2 linked regions of the Caenorhabditis elegans genome follow. The protein of the gene in region 1 purifies or fractionates together with the protein of each later gene. This does not show direct contact. Each region holds a gene or a part of one and is shown in the gene's direction. Other genes may lie near its edges.

Evidence for each region. Proteins that work in one complex are often made in the same cells at the same time.
Region 2: the proteins of dhp-2 (region 1) and gdh-1 fractionate together in Caenorhabditis elegans (co-fractionation; one large-scale study listed by BioGRID). This does not show direct contact.

Annotation. Positions count from the first base shown.
Region 1 is NC_003282.8:9,976,308-9,981,389, forward strand, and holds dhp-2 (Dihydropyrimidinase 2), read left to right. Parts: upstream 1-1,814; 5' UTR 1,815-1,878; coding exon 1,879-1,964; intron 1,965-2,013; coding exon 2,014-2,194; intron 2,195-2,238; coding exon 2,239-2,410; intron 2,411-2,458; coding exon 2,459-2,715; intron 2,716-2,761; coding exon 2,762-2,994; intron 2,995-3,720; coding exon 3,721-4,033; intron 4,034-4,081; coding exon 4,082-4,402; 3' UTR 4,403-4,468; downstream 4,469-5,082. Other genes in the region: C47E12.14 (Salivary lipocalin), read right to left, coding at 1-77; rrp-1 (Ribosomal RNA processing protein 1 homolog), read right to left, coding at 4,536-4,752, 4,840-5,082.
Region 2 is NC_003282.8:11,951,692-11,956,041, forward strand, and holds gdh-1 (Glutamate dehydrogenase), read left to right. Parts: upstream 1-1,557; 5' UTR 1,558-1,560; coding exon 1,561-1,836; intron 1,837-1,883; coding exon 1,884-2,288; intron 2,289-2,333; coding exon 2,334-2,997; intron 2,998-3,257; coding exon 3,258-3,523; 3' UTR 3,524-3,850; downstream 3,851-4,350. Other genes in the region: tbx-36 (Putative T-box protein 36), read left to right, coding at 1-385.

The DNA of each region.
Region 1 (5,082 bases):
ATTTGATCTCGAGCTTCATACCCGAGAAGGCAGAAAAATAGTATGGTGATATAGTTTATAGTTTGCAAATTGGTCATATCTAACAAATTACAACAACATGTTCAAACTTTAAATGCATGGCAATGCAGGAACGCATTCTGTGCGATCAACCTATAGATTAAAGATTATTGGGATGAGTAATAAAGAGTGTGATGGGTAAACGTAATCAAAGCGTTGAAATTGTTTAACTTTAGAATCTGAAAATGAAATTATACAAATATCTTCAATGCGGCTATACTCTGAAAAAACAAATATAAAAAAATGCCCAATTGTTGTTCTAGTTCGACTATCGATTAAACTGTAATTCAAATTTTATTTATTTAAAAAGATCCTTATTTTTGGAAACTTTCCAATTTAAATTTACGTTTACTTCAGATTTGTTAGATTTTCCTTGACCCCTGTTGATAGAATGCTATTAGAGCACTCAACGAGCTTGAATGATCTTCTGTCTTCTTCAGTGTAAACCACGCGGTATCACTTCAACAGTTGCTCTTCATTTTTCTAAGTTTCTTTTTCCGAAGACAAGTTTTGTAGAGACTTTTCGAAAATTAAAGAACCAGTCTGCAGGATTTTTAAAGTATGCCTTATCAATTATTAAATAAATCTCAATGTCTAGAACTTCAATTTCAAGGCCATTTTATGATCATTTCATTGAATTCATCCTCTCATTTTTTGGAACTTTTTGTTCGTTCTGTGATCTAGGTATCAATACAAGAAAATTATACATCCTTTTAGATATAACTAAAATCAAGACCGCCCACCAAAGTGCGTTGATTGATAGATTGATAAGAAGAACTGGGAAAAGGAAAAAGAGAATTCCCACTAATAACTGTAAAGTGATAAATGACGAGGTTGTCCTTGAAATTTGATATTTTAATCTATCGATAATATACCTTTGGAGGTTCAGGAATCAAGAGTTTATCATGAAGAAATTAGTATTTATTATGCAAAAACCATATCTTACCAAAAAAGTTATCTACGTGTTAATTTGCTTATTCACGAACTTTGCTAATTAATTACAGAGATAAAACAGTATGTATTATGCTCTTTTTTAAAGTGAAAAGTTTTATAAAATATTTAAATTAAACCGAGGTTAAAGTATGTAGAACAGTTTTTGATTTACAAAACTCAATTGCTAAACTGTATAGATGAAACAAGTTACTTTGATCATTCTAACTGCATCGATTGTAGACAATTTTGTGAAGGCTGAACTACCGTAACCGTTTTTGGATATCTTCAAACGCTGAGACTTGGATCTAATAACAAACCTTTCCGCAGGTCCAAAGACGACTGCCTCACCTCCTAACTAAATCTGATTTTCGGTTGTTTTTTGGTTTTAGGGCAATGTGCTGGTTGTAAACTATATGGCACCATTTCTTTATTTTTACAACTTGGAACCTTTACATCTGCTGTCCAGCAGAAGGCCGGGGAGGTGGGCTCACGGGAAGAAGAGCTATGAAAAGACAACTGGTGTTGATGCATACACACCTCTGATGAGATACTTTCTCTCTTTTATTTTGTATATTGTTGTTGTTATTCTGTTCAATCAAAATTGAGAATATCTTGAAGAATATCTTGATTGAAAGCTCATTTTGTTGGATTAGCATTTTTATTAGTAAAATTAAAGTATATGAAACAATATGTATCCCGCAATAGCAATTTTATTCCTCAAAATGTTTCTGTAAAATATCACGCCTTCTTCCTAGTTTCCCACTGATCCGTTGTCTTGATCTCCGCCCACTCCCTATTCCACCGTCGCTTTTTGATATCCATTTATCGGTATAAATAAAACATTTTAGTTGATTCAAATTTAATTTTAATCAAATTTTTTCTGTAGAAATGTCACTTCTAATCAAAAATGGAACCATTGTCAATGATGATGCTATCTTCAAATCCGATGTTCTGGTCCTTGATGGAAGGATTGTGTGAGTCCAACTTTGAATCATGCATCTTAATGGAAAATTTGAATTTCAGGGAAATCGCTCCATCCATCCAACCAACTCCTGGTCTTGAAGTAGTTGATGCAACGGATCGTCTTGTTATTCCAGGTGGCATTGACCCACATACACATATGCAGCTACCATTCATGGGAGAAATTGCAAAGGATGATTTTCATAGGGGAACGGAAGCTGCTGTTGCTGGTGGTACAACTATGGTATTTGAAATTAAGAAATAAAAGTTTCCAACTTTTGGTTACAGATTATTGACTTTGTAATTCCAACAAAAGGCGAATCCCTCCTTGTTGCTTACGATCGTTGGAGAGGGTGGGCTGATCCAAAAGTCGTTTGTGACTATGGATTGTCGATGGCAATTACCAGTTGGGGGCCTGAAATTGCCAAAGAAATGGAAATTGTTACTGGAGCTGAATATGGTATACCAAGTTCTAGTTTTAGTAGTCCTAGTCTATATCAACTTTTAGGAATCAATTCCTTCAAGTTTTTCCTCGCGTACGCAGGTGTCTTTATGGTTCGTGACGAAGAATTCTATCAAGGAATGATTCAATGCGCAAAGTTACGTGCATTGGCTCGTGTTCATGCTGAAAACGGATCCGTCATTGCGGAACGATGTGAGCATCTTCTTTCTTCTGGTATTACTGGACCAGAAGGACACACTCAATCTCGCCCAGAAGAATTGGAAGCTGAAGCTACTTTCCGTGCCTGTACTATGGCTTCTCAGGTATTTCGGATTGTGAGATTTAAAATATTCAATGAGAAAATTTCAGGCAAACTGTCCATTGTACGTAGTTCACGTAATGTCAAAAGGAGCAGCTGCTGCAATTGCTCATCACAGAAAGAAGGGAGCTGTTGTGTTTGGAGAACCAATTGCTGCAGGACTAGCCACTGATGGAAGTCACTATTATAATGAAGATTGGCTTCATGCTGCTCGTTATGTCATGTCTCCTCCACTTTCTCGTGATCCATCAACACCTAGTGCATTGATGAAATTGTTGGCTGCGTAAGTATAGAATTCTTGGAAGTGTATCAGTGCCGTGCGGCTCTCGGCGCGAGCCGAGAGCCGGCATTTTGGAGCTTTTTCGGCTCTTGGCCGGAGCCAAGAGCCGAAAAAAATTTCCGACTCGGCGCGCGCCGAGAGCCGACTTTTTTCAAGAGCCGCACAGCACTGAAGTGTATATTTACTACCTCCAAATTAGCCAAAAATGCGATTTACACCAAAAAGGAAAACGTTTTTATCAAAAAAATTCAACTCAAAATAGCCTTTAAAAAACCGTAAATTGGGCGGCACATACTCTAGAACTTGATGGGTAAAAAACTTACGGAAGAAACAGCGCGGATTTTCCGCAGGCACAGATTCAGAGTAAGTCCAGCCCAACTGTCAGATTGCTCGGAATTTTTAATTATATTATTGTAATTTCACGATATTTTGACTTGCCCTTCCAAAGACACACGAATGTATTACGATGGGTCTAGGTGCGCAAAAAAGTTTGTGGTAGTCTTTTATTGTCCATTTTCTACAAAATTCGCTAAAACTAAAATCGTTTTTAGCTAAAAATGAAGTAATCCCGTGTACCTTCAAAGAAGAGGTCGAAATCTCGTGAAATTACGATAACTCAAACTTTCCTAGCATATTCGGTGGAAATTAGAATAAAATTTTCAAAAGAGACAGTTCACCTTTAAATTTTCAATTAAAACCCCCAACATTTTGAGACTAAACAATTTTCAGTGGAGAATTGCATCTCACTGCCACCGATAATTGTACATTTGATTGTCAACAAAAGTCTCTTGGTAAAGATGATTTCACAAAAATTCCGAATGGAGTAAACGGAGTTGAAGACAGAATGTCAGTTGTTTGGGATAAAGGAGTTCATGCTGGAATCATTGATCCTATGAGATTTGTGGCAGTCACTTCTACAATGGCTGCTAAGATCTTCAATTGTTACCCACAGAAGGGAAGAATCGCAGTTGGCTCCGACGCGGATATTGTGATTTGGAATGCGAATGCAACTAGAACTATTTCAAAAGATACACATCATCATGTGAGTTTTAGGTTTTAGTAAATTCAATTTTAATGCAAAAAATTCAAGGCGATTGACTTCAATATTTTCGAAGGAATGCAAGTACACGGAGTTCCAGAAATCACAATTTCCCGAGGACGTACTGTTTGGGCAAATGGTCAACTGAAAACTGTTCAAGGTTCAGGACAATTCATTCCTTTGGCTCCAGACTCTCAAATCGTCTTCTCAGCTGTTGACAATCGTAAGAAGGCTATGGAACCTGTGAAAATAGACCGAATTCCATATGAGCCATCGGCACTGCAGACACCTGATGCCAATGCGAACATCGTTGTGAAAGCTCCAGTCAGGGCAGCAATTCCTCCAGGAGGAGCTAGCAGCATTCAGTTTTAAATCTACTTGTAAATAATTGTTTTTTTTTTATTTTTAAAAATTCAATAAAAAAATCACTTCCAAAAAGTAACAATGCATCAAAAATTGAAATTATAACAAAAACATAACAAATCAAGCAACAATGATATTCAGATTAATTTTTCTTTCCTGCTTTTCTTTTCAGGCCGCCGACCATTCTCTTCTTTCCGACTCCTTTAGCTTTCAAAAGTGGGCGCCCTTTCTTCACTTTAGGAACTGCTGTTTTCTTTCCATTTCCTTTTTTAACTTCAGCGATTTCGTCATCTGGAACATCATCTCCGTTCTCCTGCCGTGCAGCTTCGGCAGCCTCACGAGCTCGCTTTTTGATTTGGCTTTAAAAAATTTTTATTTTTAAAGTTTTTACATTTCACGATAAATCTAACAATAAATTCGTCAGCTTAATACGCCTATAAGTGTACCTTTTAACTTTTCTGGACGACTTTCTCTCTTGCTTGAAGCTGTTGGCCAACACAATGGCCTTCTTCTCGGCTTCTTCATAATCATGTCTTGTCAACCTCTCCTTTGGAACTGGGGTCTCGAAATGTAATGGATCTTGTCCACGAGAACTCTTATCGAACTTCTTAACAAGATCATAGATCTTCTTTCTTCTCTTAGCATTTAAATGTTCTTGCTTTCCCACTTCAAATAGCAACGCTCCGATT
Region 2 (4,350 bases), 2.0 Mb from region 1:
CTCAAGAAAAAGAAAGTATGAAATCAGTGGAACAAAGTGCCAGCGTTCGAAACGTCCAGCAAAACTTCCTGTCGAATCTCTAGATGAGAAGGAACTAAAAAATGCTGAAAAGGGAATCATGAGTTTGCTTGAATCATCACCTTCGTCACCATCGTACCTTTATCAATATCAATACAATTCTCCACAATCAATACCATCTTCTATTTATGACTCTCTCTACCCATCGTCTCCAGAAGAATATCAGATGGTTCATACTTTTCCACAAACAGACCAATTATCTCCTAGTTTTCAAACTTCGCCCACAGTCCATTATGATTTTTATAATCAGCAATATTATGACAATTCATTTCATGAAAACTATTTCCAGTCATACAATCGGTTATAACTTTCGATTTATGCTTATGTCTAGATTTATCCGGTTTCAAATTACTAACCTGTTTTTCTTTTTTATCACAACTAACAAGCTCACGTTTTATCATTCTTGAAATTTTTTCAATAAATAATGAAAATAAAATCAAAAGTGTAGAATTTGTTCTTAAAGGCGCATGAATTCATTCCAATGGGTCTCGTCGGGAGAAAAAGTTTATGGTAGCGCGTCTTGGTGCTCGGATTTTTTAATTATTTTTTTTCCATTTTAAAAATATTTTATGCTCTATGTTTGGTTATGGAAGCGACCACCGAAAAAGCCACATTCTTCAAAAATTTCTGTCAAATCTCTGGGGGAGAAATAAAATTTAAAAATCGGTTGTCTTATTCTGAAGATTATTTACGAAGAATCAAAGATGTCGATCAGTAAAACAAATCGAAAGAGAAACAAAAACAAAACTGGTATTCAAAATTCGTTGAATGAGATTTTTGACGCGAATTTAGCGAGACACTGTCTCGATTCTTTCTCAGATGACGTCGATTGACCCTGCTTCTTTTGTTTTGTTGCTATGCAGATCGTATGTCCTATGCAATAGCACCACACAATATGGGCGAAGATCAATGACACTCGTCCCACTCTTCTTTTTTCCTTCTTCAAATAGGCGGAGCATCTTTTCTCTATTTTTCCCCCGAATGTTGCCTCTATTTCTCTCTTTCTCTAAATATCTATTTGCCAGTCACCTCCTCCTCCTCCTCCATGAAACGCTATCTTTTGCTTGCAGTTTCATCGGTCTCGCCCACCGATGATGGTTGCGCGTTGTCCTGTAAACAGTTTTGTGTTGGGCTCCTCTAGTTTTGAATAGTTATGGCGCCCGCGTCCCCAGGACGAGCTTTTCGTGGCCTAGAAGCGTTTGCCTACTCGCGGGCGGTGCCACATTTTTTTTAGGAAAAAAGGTTTTGATGCCTCTGCCAATTTTTTTTGATTTAAATATTTTTAAACGAGCTATAACTTAAATAATTTCAAACTGCCGCTGAAAATTATTAAAGGCGCATGGATTTCGTGACGAGACCTCCTGGCATTTTCCTTACTTTTCGATTCCGCCCGGATCTTTTCCTCCTTTTTGCACTTTGGCTTCTTATGTAAAATCTCTTATTTGTTTAAATTTTAATTACAAAATATTTTATTTTCAGGTAATGTTGAGCACTCTTTCCAGAGGCGCCCGCTCGGTCGCTGTCCGAAGCTATTCGGCCGCTACTCTCGATGCCCACTCCCAGGTGCTCGACGAGCAGAAGCCAATGGAGGAGCAGGTCAACCCATCTTTCTACAAGATGGTCGACTTTTACTTCAACAAGGGAGCCGAGGTCATCGCTCCAAAACTCGCCGAGGAGCTCAAGTCCAACTCTTTGAGCCAAAAGGATAAGAAGAATCTCGTGTCCGGAATTCTTGGAGCTATCAAGCCAGTTAACAAGGTAAGAATTTTGAGTCTCATTAATTTATCATATTTTATTTTCTTCAGGTCCTTTACATCACCTTCCCAATCCGTCGTGACAATGGAGAGTTCGAGGTTATTGAGGCCTGGCGCGCACAGCATTCTGAGCACAGAACTCCAACCAAGGGAGGTATCCGTTATTCCCTCGATGTGTGCGAAGATGAGGTCAAAGCTTTGTCTGCTCTTATGACTTACAAGTGCGCTGTTGTCGATGTTCCATTCGGAGGAGCTAAGGGAGGAGTCAAGATTGATCCAAAGCAATACACTGATTATGAAATTGAGAAGATCACCCGCCGTATCGCTATCGAATTCGCAAAGAAGGGATTCCTCGGCCCCGGAGTTGATGTCCCAGCCCCAGATATGGGAACCGGAGAGCGTGAAATGGGATGGATCGCTGATACCTACGCCCAAACCATTGGACATTTGGACAGAGTGAGTATAAATTTTTTGTGAGCATGTGAATAATTTTGTTTGCAGGATGCTTCGGCTTGTATCACAGGAAAGCCAATTGTCAGTGGAGGAATTCACGGACGTGTTTCCGCCACCGGACGTGGAGTGTGGAAGGGACTCGAGGTGTTCACCAACGATGCTGATTACATGAAGATGGTCGGTCTTGACACCGGACTCGCTGGAAAGACTGCTATCATCCAAGGATTCGGAAACGTCGGACTTCACACCCACAGATACCTCCACCGTGCTGGATCAAAGGTCATCGGAATCCAGGAGTACGATTGCGCCGTCTACAACCCAGATGGTATTCATCCAAAGGAGCTCGAAGATTGGAAGGACGCCAATGGAACTATCAAGAACTTCCCAGGAGCCAAGAACTTCGACCCATTCACTGAGCTTATGTACGAGAAGTGCGATATCTTCGTTCCAGCTGCTTGCGAAAAGTCGATCCACAAGGAAAATGCTAGCCGCATTCAAGCTAAGATCATCGCCGAGGCTGCCAACGGACCAACTACCCCAGCTGCTGACAGAATTCTTCTTGCTCGTGGAGATTGCCTCATCATCCCAGACATGTACGTCAACTCTGGTGGAGTTACTGTTTCCTACTTCGAGTGGTTGAAGAATCTTAACCATGTTTCCTACGGACGTCTTACATTCAAATATGACGAGGAAGCCAACAAGATGCTTTTGGGTAAGTAAATTTTCGAAATTTGAATTCCTAGACTTGCGTAGAGTAACACAATGAAACGATTTGCAAGTTTTCATCTGTGATAAAATTTTGTTTAGAAACTAACAAGGGCTAGATACTCTTACGCTTGTCACACTTTTCCGTTTATTTTATGAGGAGGGAGAGGAGGCCACTCAACCGTTGTCGTGAAAATGAGTACGTATGCACTCTAGGAAACAAATTGTAAATCAATTCTTTCTGTTTAAAAATGTTTGAATTTTCAGCCTCGGTCCAAGAATCTCTCTCCAAGGCCGTCGGAAAGGATTGCCCAGTTGAACCAAATGCTGCTTTCGCTGCCAAGATCGCTGGAGCTTCCGAGAAAGACATCGTTCACTCTGGACTCGAGTACACAATGCAACGCTCCGGAGAAGCCATCATCCGCACCGCTCACAAGTACAACCTTGGACTTGATATCCGTACTGCTGCCTATGCCAACTCCATCGAGAAGGTCTACAACACCTACAGAACCGCTGGATTCACCTTCACATAAGTACCCACTTCTCACTCATCTCATGGCTCTTGTATCCTCTTTTATGACATCAAATGGCTCCAAGCCAGGTTTAAATAGCTTCGTGTAACCCTTTAGTGCCTTTTCCATAGTTTTCTGTTTCGAAACTATCTAGGTTAACTAAAGTCTAGCTCTGATCTTTTCTGCCTGGTTCGTTCTCACTTTAGTATAATTAAATATTTTATTGGTTCCCCACCCCTTTTCATCCCCACACATAATTTTTTCGTTGTTTGTTGGTTCGGGACGGTTTCGAGACGGAGACCATTCTTCAAAAAAAAATCTCAAAAATAATAAAAAGTTTATTTCCTTAAACACTTCTACATGGTCATTGCAATTTTCCAATGATCATTGGAAAAGAAATTTCAGGGAGCATTAAAAACTTTATCAGACTTGTGTCTTTCTATTTACTATAATTTAGAATTTTCGATAACATATCACTTTCACATTGTGTGCCACTATCAGCTTCAAATTTGGGAATCACCTCCACAATTGTTGCAAAATTTTCGAATTGTCTAAACGAAGTTGATGCTTGGCCGTTTCCATATCAGTTGATCTTTTCCGGCAAAACCTTCGTCGTCAAACTGATGCAATTCCTGGAGAGAATGAAAAGAAATGTTGAAAGATTAAATTGGGTGATCGTTTGAACGAAGCTAATCTGATTGGACAAAAAGAAGAAATGATAAAAGATGATAAAGACAGTTTGGAGGGAATCCCCCATTTCGGTTCGAAGTGTACGCAAATGTTTGAGGGAAATATTTAGAATTGGAGATTTTTTTGAATTTTTGCAGTTACAGAGAAATTTTGGAATG